3 linked regions of the Kluyveromyces lactis genome follow. The protein of the gene in region 3 purifies or fractionates together with the protein of the main gene of each other region. This does not show direct contact. Links are inferred from orthologs where the notes say so. Each region holds a gene or a part of one and is shown on either strand. Other genes may lie near its edges. The genes, in order: FPR1, SMU2 and FAP1.

Evidence for each region.
Region 1: the proteins of FAP1 (region 3) and FPR1 purify together in Saccharomyces cerevisiae (affinity purification with mass spectrometry; 3 studies listed by BioGRID). This does not show direct contact. The link is inferred for Kluyveromyces lactis from reciprocal best matches to the Saccharomyces cerevisiae genes FAP1 and FPR1.
Region 2: the proteins of FAP1 (region 3) and SMU2 purify together in Saccharomyces cerevisiae (affinity purification with mass spectrometry; 3 studies listed by BioGRID). This does not show direct contact. The link is inferred for Kluyveromyces lactis from reciprocal best matches to the Saccharomyces cerevisiae genes FAP1 and SMU2.

The regions. Positions count from the first base shown.
Region 1 is NC_006037.1:1,009,849-1,012,332, forward strand, and holds FPR1 (peptidylprolyl isomerase FPR1), read right to left. Parts: upstream 964-2,484; coding exon 619-963; downstream 1-618. Other genes in the region: EAF7 (Eaf7p), read left to right, coding at 1-320. UniProt on the Saccharomyces cerevisiae protein: PPIases accelerate the folding of proteins. It catalyzes the cis-trans isomerization of proline imidic peptide bonds in oligopeptides.
Region 2 is NC_006042.1:999,505-1,002,166, reverse strand, and holds SMU2 (Smu2p), read right to left. Parts: upstream 1,269-2,662; coding exon 642-1,268; downstream 1-641. Other genes in the region: POT1 (acetyl-CoA C-acyltransferase), read left to right, coding at 1-541; KLLA0_F10835g (Zn(II)2Cys6 transcription factor domain-containing protein), read right to left, coding at 2,385-2,662.
Region 3 is NC_006041.1:747,154-751,406, forward strand, and holds FAP1 (Fap1p), read right to left. Parts: upstream 2,885-4,253; coding exon 119-2,884; downstream 1-118. Other genes in the region: LYS12 (homoisocitrate dehydrogenase), read left to right, coding at 3,517-4,253. UniProt on the Saccharomyces cerevisiae protein: May play a role in transcription regulation.

The sequences.
Region 1 (2,484 bases), on a different chromosome or scaffold from region 3:
AACACGATACAGAAGGGAGATCTGGTAGCGAAAAAGAATCGACTGCTGATGCCGCAGATACTACAGCTACAAAACAAGTCACATTTGCTGATGAATCTGAAGGTGCTGCCAAGGAATCAGCTAATTCGCCGACAGGGAAAGCAGAAGAGAACGAAACGGAATCATCTCAACAGCCGCGCCCTAAGAAACAAAAAGTTGCCGCTGCGGAGGAAGTTCCTGAAGATCTTGCCGACGTGGATTCTCCAGCTAGGAGAACAAGAAGAAAATCCATAACAAAACCAACTACAAGGCTCTCGAGCAGGCTTAGAAGCAGGAAGTAGTTGTTCTTGATTGTTTTTTCAATAATGCAATAACAACATAATATAGCTAATGGTTTATATTATAGGCATTTCGTTGATGTACAAAAATTGAATGTTAAAATGGAAGCATACAAACACTACGGCTACAATTTGATAGCAATTCCCATGTTGAAAGGTTGATGAGAAGGTACGGAAAGATGTAAAGCTATAATAATAATAATGGATGGGACCAATTGGAAGGAATCAAGGGAGAAACCAAAGAAAAAATGTGAAGGAAATTAATAGTATGTGTTTTATTCAGAAGAATGACATTATACATCTAGTTAATCTTCAACAATTCAACATCAAAGACTAAAGTAGCATTTGGTGGGATCAAACCTGGGAAACCACGTGGACCATAAGCGTATGGGCCTGGGATAGTTAGTCTTGCCTTTTCACCAACGGACAACTTTGGAATAGCAGCATCCCAACCCTTGATAACTTGACCTACACCAATGTTACATTGGAATGGAGAACCTCTATCAACGGAAGAATCAAACTTTTGACCGTTTTCCAAAGTACCAGTGTAATGGATTGTTACCAAATCGCCTGGTTTTGGGAAGTTGGTACTGTCACCTGGTGATAATCTTAGAATTTGAACGTTACCTTCAATTGTTTCGGACATTGTTTCTGCTGTTTGATGTGTGATAGCTGAGTTATTTTAAAACTGCAATACAATAACGGATTAAACTGACACAAAATAGCACTCAATTGGCCTCGTAATTGCAACAGTTTCGTGTAGAATGTAGGAATCCTTATTATAGAAATGAAAACTTTTTGTTTTCTGAACGATAATGATTTCTAGAAGCAGTGGTAACGTATTTAATGACTTCAAGACTTTCAGCATTTGTCACGTGACTGCATTCTTTCTTTCTTACTTAAGCAATCACTTTTCGCGGAAACATGCCTGTAAGAGGTTTGAGCAGACGCAACGGCAGCACAGCCAACATTCAGGTCAGTTCAAATAAAGATCATCGAACCTTTTAGCATAGGGTTTTTAAATCACCTGAAATTGTACATTCCTGAACAACAACCGACGTCACTAAGCCGTACTACATCGAATATCCTACGAAATATCTCATTTGCTATTATGCTCTGTCCGCATCTGTATGTCCAGAAGTGTTTGAGATTTATAATTGCTTGATAATTAAAAGGTGAATAACTATAGCAAGAGCCAGGTTTTCAAAACTTTGAGGTATGGTGCTTTGTAATTCAGCCCTCATTTGCTTTATTTAGAATTAACGCCTCGATACCTGTTAAGGGAAAGTGAGCAAATTCTTGGTTACTGGGTCTAGAAGAGAACATTTCTGGAAAAGCAGGTTGATCCTAATTGTGCTGGTCAACTTGTAGTCGAGTAGATGTGAATTCACAGTAGCACATCGACTCTTATTCATAAACGGAATTGGTGATACTTAGAGCGGCTTATTAGCTAACATGTTATGAAGTTTCATTTAGTATTGCAAAATATTCCGTTGACTGAGCCGCAGAAAAGAAACTGCCCAGCGAATATGTTACGTCGTACAAAAATGTACATAGTCTTGCAATTCAGTTCCGTAACCATGGGCTATCGAATGAAAGGTGGACTAAAGAGTTCTCCGATTTCGTCTTCACAGTTTCTCAATGACGGATCAAATGGTTCTTCCGCATTTTTTGCCTATTCTGTTAATACCACTGAAAGCAAGTTTCGACTCGTGCACTGTTTCATACTGTTTCTAGGCCCACAGGCTGAAATAAAGTTATTCGCGTTGATCGTTTCTTCTTTGTACATTCAAACTTCTTTTCTTTTGTTACCACTTTCAGCCAACTAACCTGCTCCTAGTGATGATGTATTGGAATTTCACATAAGACACTGTAGTCATTTCACAAGATACCCACAGTTTTCTGGTGCAAGGTTTAATACCGAGCACACTATTGTAAGTCCATATCCGTCTTGATCTCGCTATTTTCGGAATATTCTCTCAACTCGAATCCCATTCCTTGCTGAATGGTTGTCTGAGGTAAGTCAAGTAACATGCAGTTTTAGGAAAAAAGTCTCGAAGTCTTAATTGATCAGTTAATCAAGCTTAACTCTGCTCTGATTCAAATTCACTGCCCTCTCCACACATTTAATCCACGATATCCTCTCGCTGAACACACACATTTTGAG
Region 2 (2,662 bases), on a different chromosome or scaffold from region 3:
AATTGCGCAGGACGAAGGTCCTAGAAAGGGCGTCACTTTCGAATCGTTACAAAAGATTAAACCTGCATTTGTGAAGGAAACAGGTGTGACAACTGCCGGTAACGCTTCTCAGATATCAGATGGTGTTGCTGGTGTGTTGCTAATGAGAAGATCCATGGCCATGAAATTGGGTTTGGAAATCGTTGGTAAGTACGTTGCGTTCCAGGCAGTAGGTGTTCCACCTGAGATCATGGGTGTTGGCCCAGCATATGCGATTCCAAGAGTCCTCAAAGACTGTGGTTTAAATGTCAACGATGTTGATGTTTACGAGATTAATGAGGCCTTTGCAGGGCAGGCCATTTTCTGTGTCAACCATCTAAAAATCGACAAGAAGAAATTGAACCCAAGGGGAGGCGCGATTGCCTTAGGTCATCCTTTGGGCTGCACTGGTGCCAGACAAGTCGCTACCATATTAAGGGAATTAGACGCTGGTCAAATTGGTGTTGTTAGCATGTGTATCGGTACTGGTATGGGAGCTGCTGCAGTCTTCGTCAAGGAGTGAGTGAATATTAACGTGTGTATAATGTAGTTTCCCTCTTCTGTAATGACCATTTCGATGAATATGATGAGTAACTCATATTATTCGCTACTGTGTTTTTTTTTCAATCAGAGAGTTTTGACATCAGATTCTTCTGTACCGTGTCCCTATTTATATACTCCGGAGACTGCAAAGAATTCCAGTTGGTAACCAAATAGTTTAATTGTATAACTAGCGGCTGTTTATCTTTGAGTAAAGCTTTTGATTTATAATTGAAATTGTTTACAATTCGTGATAACGGGTCATCTGAAGAACAGTCTTTCGGTTTACTTAGCTTTATGGCGGATTGAGGATAATCGACCGGAATGTTGAAAACACATTTCACTTTCTTTTGATTCTGATCTTGATCAGTGGTAATAAACGTTAGCGAGTAGGTCGTGACATATTGTCCTTTCCTTAACATTACAATATCTGACCCAGCCAAATGGCACAATTGGTCAATTTCGGCTTTTCTTTGCAACTTCAAGGCATTTCTCAATTTGAATTTTTTCTCTGCATTTTCATTATGGGATGATTTGGCGGTAATTTCAAGACTGGTTGCCTTCTCTGCAGGTACTGATTTTTCTGCCTTTGACCGTCTCCCTCTCTTCCTCCTATAACTATGTCCAGCATTTTTTCTCTTGTCAGCTTCACTCTCTTTCGTATGTTTAATTACGCCATTCTCAACTTTTCCTGCAGCTTTCGCAGACATGATGGTAACCCGATTGCTTGGCCTGATATTTAGAATCTCTCAAAATAATATCTACCGAGCAGAGTACGCTGAAACGGTTGAGATACCAATGGTTATATAGCTTAAGTTCTTTTTCATAGCTCCCTCATTCTCTATAAACTGATCTCATCTCATATTTCATTAACTTACCATGTCTACTGCCTAAATGCATAAAGTTTCAGTTTTTTTTCACAAAATTGGTACCTGATTGTTGTAGAAAAAACGTGACCAGAGTTGCGACACTGCCTCAATGAATACCGACTCATTCCTGAAGGCATCGAATAAAGAAACATATAGTCATTGGCGGTCAATTTCTGGAGATTTGAAAGTGAATTCAATCTATCAAACTTGATATTCAACCTCCTTAGTTTCTGAATTATGATGTTTTGACTATTACGTGGCTTCTGAGCTTTCAGGTGTTCACCTCTAATACTGTTCTTTGATGGTATCGAGAAGGCAACAAACAAAATCTCGAAGATCATGATCTTCCTCATCTTTTTGAAATTTATTAAAGAATACTACAACTTTTTTAGACTTCCGTGGAAAACATTTCCTATTTAAAGCAAAAAACGAGCTTTCCTTTAGTTAATTGAGGTTTTTGACGGTCAACATAAGTAAATCTAGGAATACTATCACCATTTAATCTCTAGTTAGCATTCCGTAAAAAATTTGTGGCACGACATACTCTCTGCTGTTTTCTCCTTTGTTACATTTTTGAGCGCTGCATCGACCGTTCTATGTTTTGTTTAAATATGCAGGATACGCCATTTTTGTATTTTAATTCCGAATTAATAACGACTTGAAGAGCATTTTTTCCCTAAACTGAACCTTAAACTCAAAACAATAACAGAAAAATTCCGTAAAAAACTTGAATCTGTGCGCTAAAAAAGCTGTTTCTTAATTGAATGAATTTTGGATGGGAGATATATATATATATTCTCACACATCAAGATAAATAAGTAACTGATTGAAAATCTATATTCTTCTATATTATAATTGAAATAGTACAACTTTGGCATGATATTTGTTCCAGTTTAGAGGATTCATTTAAAGTGATTGACTTCGTTATTTTTTTGGACATTGAAAGGGAATATTAACTTAGATGGGGATAAAGTCATGATCAGGATTGATGATATTCTGATAAGCACCAATTGCAACATTAGCTTTGATGGCGTTTAGCTTGTCTACACTATTTTTAGCAACTGCCATTCCGCTGTCGGTGATTTTACTCAAAAGGTCGATGAAATGGACATAAAGCACATCATCTTCAGCTATAATACATGTGAGTGCTCCTACGAACAACGATGGATGGCAGCACACCCCACAAGATGAGTAATAAGGGTTGCTATAAGAAGTTTTCACCATTGTGTATAGAA
Region 3 (4,253 bases):
TAGTGTATAAATAAATGAAGGCTATGAAACTTCTGCTGAGGTGTTATGCATGAAAAGTCTGTAGACTATAGGTGCGTCAGTTTTTTTATATATGTACTTTTTTGGCCGGCTTTTTCTCTTATGCTTGAGACACTAGGGACAAATTCTCATCAACTTGACACATTTCCACACCTGTAGCCAACATTTGATCTTGTAGTGCTGTCTTTATAAACGGAATGACTTTTTCCATATCACTTGCAGTGTTTTTTGTTATACCCGAATAATTCTCTGGGAAAATCAAAACTGAGTTTAAGTCTTTCAAGAAGCGATATTGAGGTGTTTTCACTAAAGTATACTTCAAGAAATCATGCACCAGAGGTTCGATATTATCTATTTGGCTTGAATCGAACACTCCGGAAATGACTATTGCATTAGGGCCCTCGTATGGGGCCGGTAAAGGTGTCTCGGATGCGGGGATATTAATTAAGGTTTTCGTGACTTTTGTTGAGTAATGTTCTTGCATTCTTTCCTTTTCTAATGTTTTAAATAGTTGATAGAGTTCTGATGCGTCCTTGAGTGTTAACTCCGGCTTCTTAGATTGTGATTGGATCTTTTTTAGGTAAACTGATCTATTTGGTTCTCGATCTTGACTTTCGGAGTAGAGAGCGTATGCAGATGCCAACTCTTTGATAAATTGACGCTGTGGTACTCTCATTGGTTTCAAATGAAGACTTAATTTTTGAGTGTCCTCTATGAATTTATCAAAAACAGCACAAATTTGATCACACCAGTTCACTTGTTTTTTGTAAACGTTCAAGACCAATTCAGAGTAAGGCATATTTAGATCATCAAATTTTTTAGCAACAAGAACAATGGATTCCAGTTGCTCTTTTGTATTTTTGGGCTTTTCATTCATCCCAAAAGCCTCCATCAATTCCATATGCCTTTGCAACTTTGCACATTCTTCATCACATGGCAATTTTTCAGTTTCTGATCTACTTTGAGTGTCGTGGGTAGCACCACACTCAACCTGTTTTGTTCGACGATTGCAGTCACAAGTGATGACGACTTTTTCATGGCATACTTTCTCCGGACATGGTGAATTACCATGACATTTTTCTTTACAAAGATGTCCACATAAACTTCTTTTCAACCCGCATGGTTTGGCACATTTGATTTCGCATTCTCCTTCAACATGACATTTCTTCTGACATTTGTGATGACATGTTGCTAATGGCAGCCCACATTCGGTACCACAGGCCACCTGAGAGTCTGGAACAAGACACAACGTACGCATATCGTGCTTTTTGTAACATCTGCATTTTTTAATCACGTTAGCCGTACAAGGAGGACAGTCTGTACCGGCAGGATGACATTTATGAGGTCCAACTCTATGTCCGCACGGAGCTGGGCCCTCAGAAATTTTTATACAAGGATTTGGACACGGAGGTAGTTTGGTACCACACCTAACAGGAGCTGGAACGACAGTCTTCCCGCACGGGCATACCAAATCATTTGGATCCGATTCCAAGCATGGTGGGCATTTGCCAGGATGGCACTTCCATGTACAATCATGTATCCCACAACTCAGTTTTAAATTACATTGTTTTAAGCAGACATGTTCAGGCTCTACTAGAGTCTCATTGTTAAGGTCTCTTTTCAGGAACAAAGTTTTCTCTCGCTTCTTAGCAGCTGGTTTCCCCGAACAACATATTTCCATGCATTTGTGTCTTCTACAGGACATATTCGATTCGCATTTGATGTTACAGCGAGGGGTATCATGAAGCTGACAAGGAGTAAGAAACGTCTTCGAGTGACATGTACATGGAGTCTTTGTAATAATTAAGCATGGGTCCATACAATCACCTGTATGACATGAAAAAGGACACGTATGTTTCCCGCACGATAACTGTTTCCCACATACATTGGAACATGTCGGAATCGTATCAGTACATTTCCTCCTGGGTTTATCCAGCTCTTTTAGCATAGTTTTTCCACAAGGACATGTCTTGAGAGTCTTGGGAGAAAATGGACAGGGTCTCGACCTATCTATACCTGCAGGCGCAAGACATTGCTCCACGTATGTATGGTGATCACAAGAATAATGTAAAGTTCGAACCTCGCCACATGAATACACACCGATCCATTTTTTGCCACTCACATCTTTAGAATAGTCCAAAACTCTAAGATCGGAACATTGAATCCCAGACTTAACATCAGAACCACAATAGCAAGGCAATTCTGTTTTTATTATACTTTCACAGGGACCACAAAATCCAGTATGGCAAGTCTTTTGGCAAGTGTGTTTTCCGCAAGGCAAAAGTAAACCACAAACATCACCGCAATTATAGGAGTTTCCTAGAACTTTAGACCTAGAACAAGGGATTTGCTTACAGTGTTTTCCACATTTGCATTTAATTTGCACAGGGATCAGGCACTCAGGATGTGGACCGAGATGACAAACCTTGGAACAACCATGTACGCATGAATATGCATTGCAAGTTTGACCACAGGAATTAGGATCTAGCTCATTAACATCTGGATTGACAACTTTTCCACACCAACAGGTACTTCTTTTCTGTTTTGGAATCTTATGGTTGATTTTGTAACAGTTGGGACACTTCCAAGACTTATCTAACGTTTTGTTTGTAGATTTTAAAGCCCATTCCCTGACACATTCGTAGTCGAAAACTCTATAACAGGAATCACACGCATACATCCGACATGTAGAATCAAGCTCCACTGTACAAATCATGCACACATACTGATCACCATCTTTGATTTCTTTAACGGTTTGCTCATAGTAAGGAATATTGGTATCTTCATCGTTATCACTGTCAAAATCCGAATCAGAGGAATAGAGCCTTGGCTCACTTTCTGGGTATATTAGCTCTTCAGCAGTCATTTCTAATTCAACTGCTGCGATCAAGTGACGCGTTTGATGGAATGGACGCTTATATTTTAGATTTAAGCTAAGAGTCGGTATGACGGGATGAGATGAGATGACTTTTACATACAAAAACGTGAAAAAAAGTGTAAAGGCAGCAAAAGAAAAAAGAGAGAATTGTACCAAAATCCGTATAACCTAAAACCTGTACTGACGACAAAATCCCATCGATATCGAACTAGCAATGCTATATGCTGCAACATCAGATCTAGAAGTCCTCCTTGATGTGTCAACATATATGTTTATGTATTACGTGAAGGCATACGGTTATCTATCGTTTAGTCACCTGACTACTTTCAAAATGCTCGAAAGGGAGTTTTCAGTTTCCCAATGAATCGCAGATAAATTCCTGTGGAAATTCGAAATTTCATCAACCAGTCATTGGGATCATTGAAAGAAATATGAGTTACAGGAAACTGAATAACCTGTAAACTATAAATACACCCCAGTGTTACGATTTGGATTGGATTGCAGCTGTAGTTGATTCTGTGAAAACCATCACATTTTACTTTGTTTTAAGGTTATCGAACTACTTGTCCCGAAGATCAAGCAGCGAATTGTTTCATTTCGCTATATAACAACCATTCAATATGATGAGAACACGTTTCATTCAATTGTCCCGTCGTGCTTACGCTTCCAATGCGAAGAATTTAACAATTGGTTTAATTCCAGGTGATGGTATTGGTAAAGAAGTTATTCCTGCTGGTAAGAAGATCTTAGAATCATTGAACCCAAAGTACGGTCTATCGTTTAAATTCATTGATTTGCAAGCTGGTTGGGAAACCTTCCAAAACACCGGTAAGGCACTCCCTGACGAAACCATTGATATCTTGAAGAACCAATGTGAAGGTGCTTTATTTGGTGCTGTGCAATCACCAACGACTAAGGTTGAAGGTTACTCTTCTCCAATCGTTGCCCTAAGAAAGAATTTGGGACTTTTCGCTAACGTTCGTCCTGTTAAATCTGTTGATGGTACTAAGGACAGAAAAGTTGACCTAGTCATCGTTAGAGAAAACACTGAAGATTTATACATTAAATTGGAAAAGTCATACATCGATGAAGCCACCGGAACCAGAGTTGCAGATGCTACCAAGAGAATTACCGAAATAGCAACCAAAAACATTGCTACTATCGCTCTACAAATCGCTCAACAGAGATTGGAACAGAACGGTCATGCCACTTTAACAGTTACTCACAAATCCAATGTTCTTTCACAATCTGATGGTCTTTTCAGAGAGGTATGCAGAGAAACTTATGAAGCTAACAAGGACAAGTACGGAGGTGTCCAATATAATGAACAAATCGTCGATTCCATGGTTTACAGAAT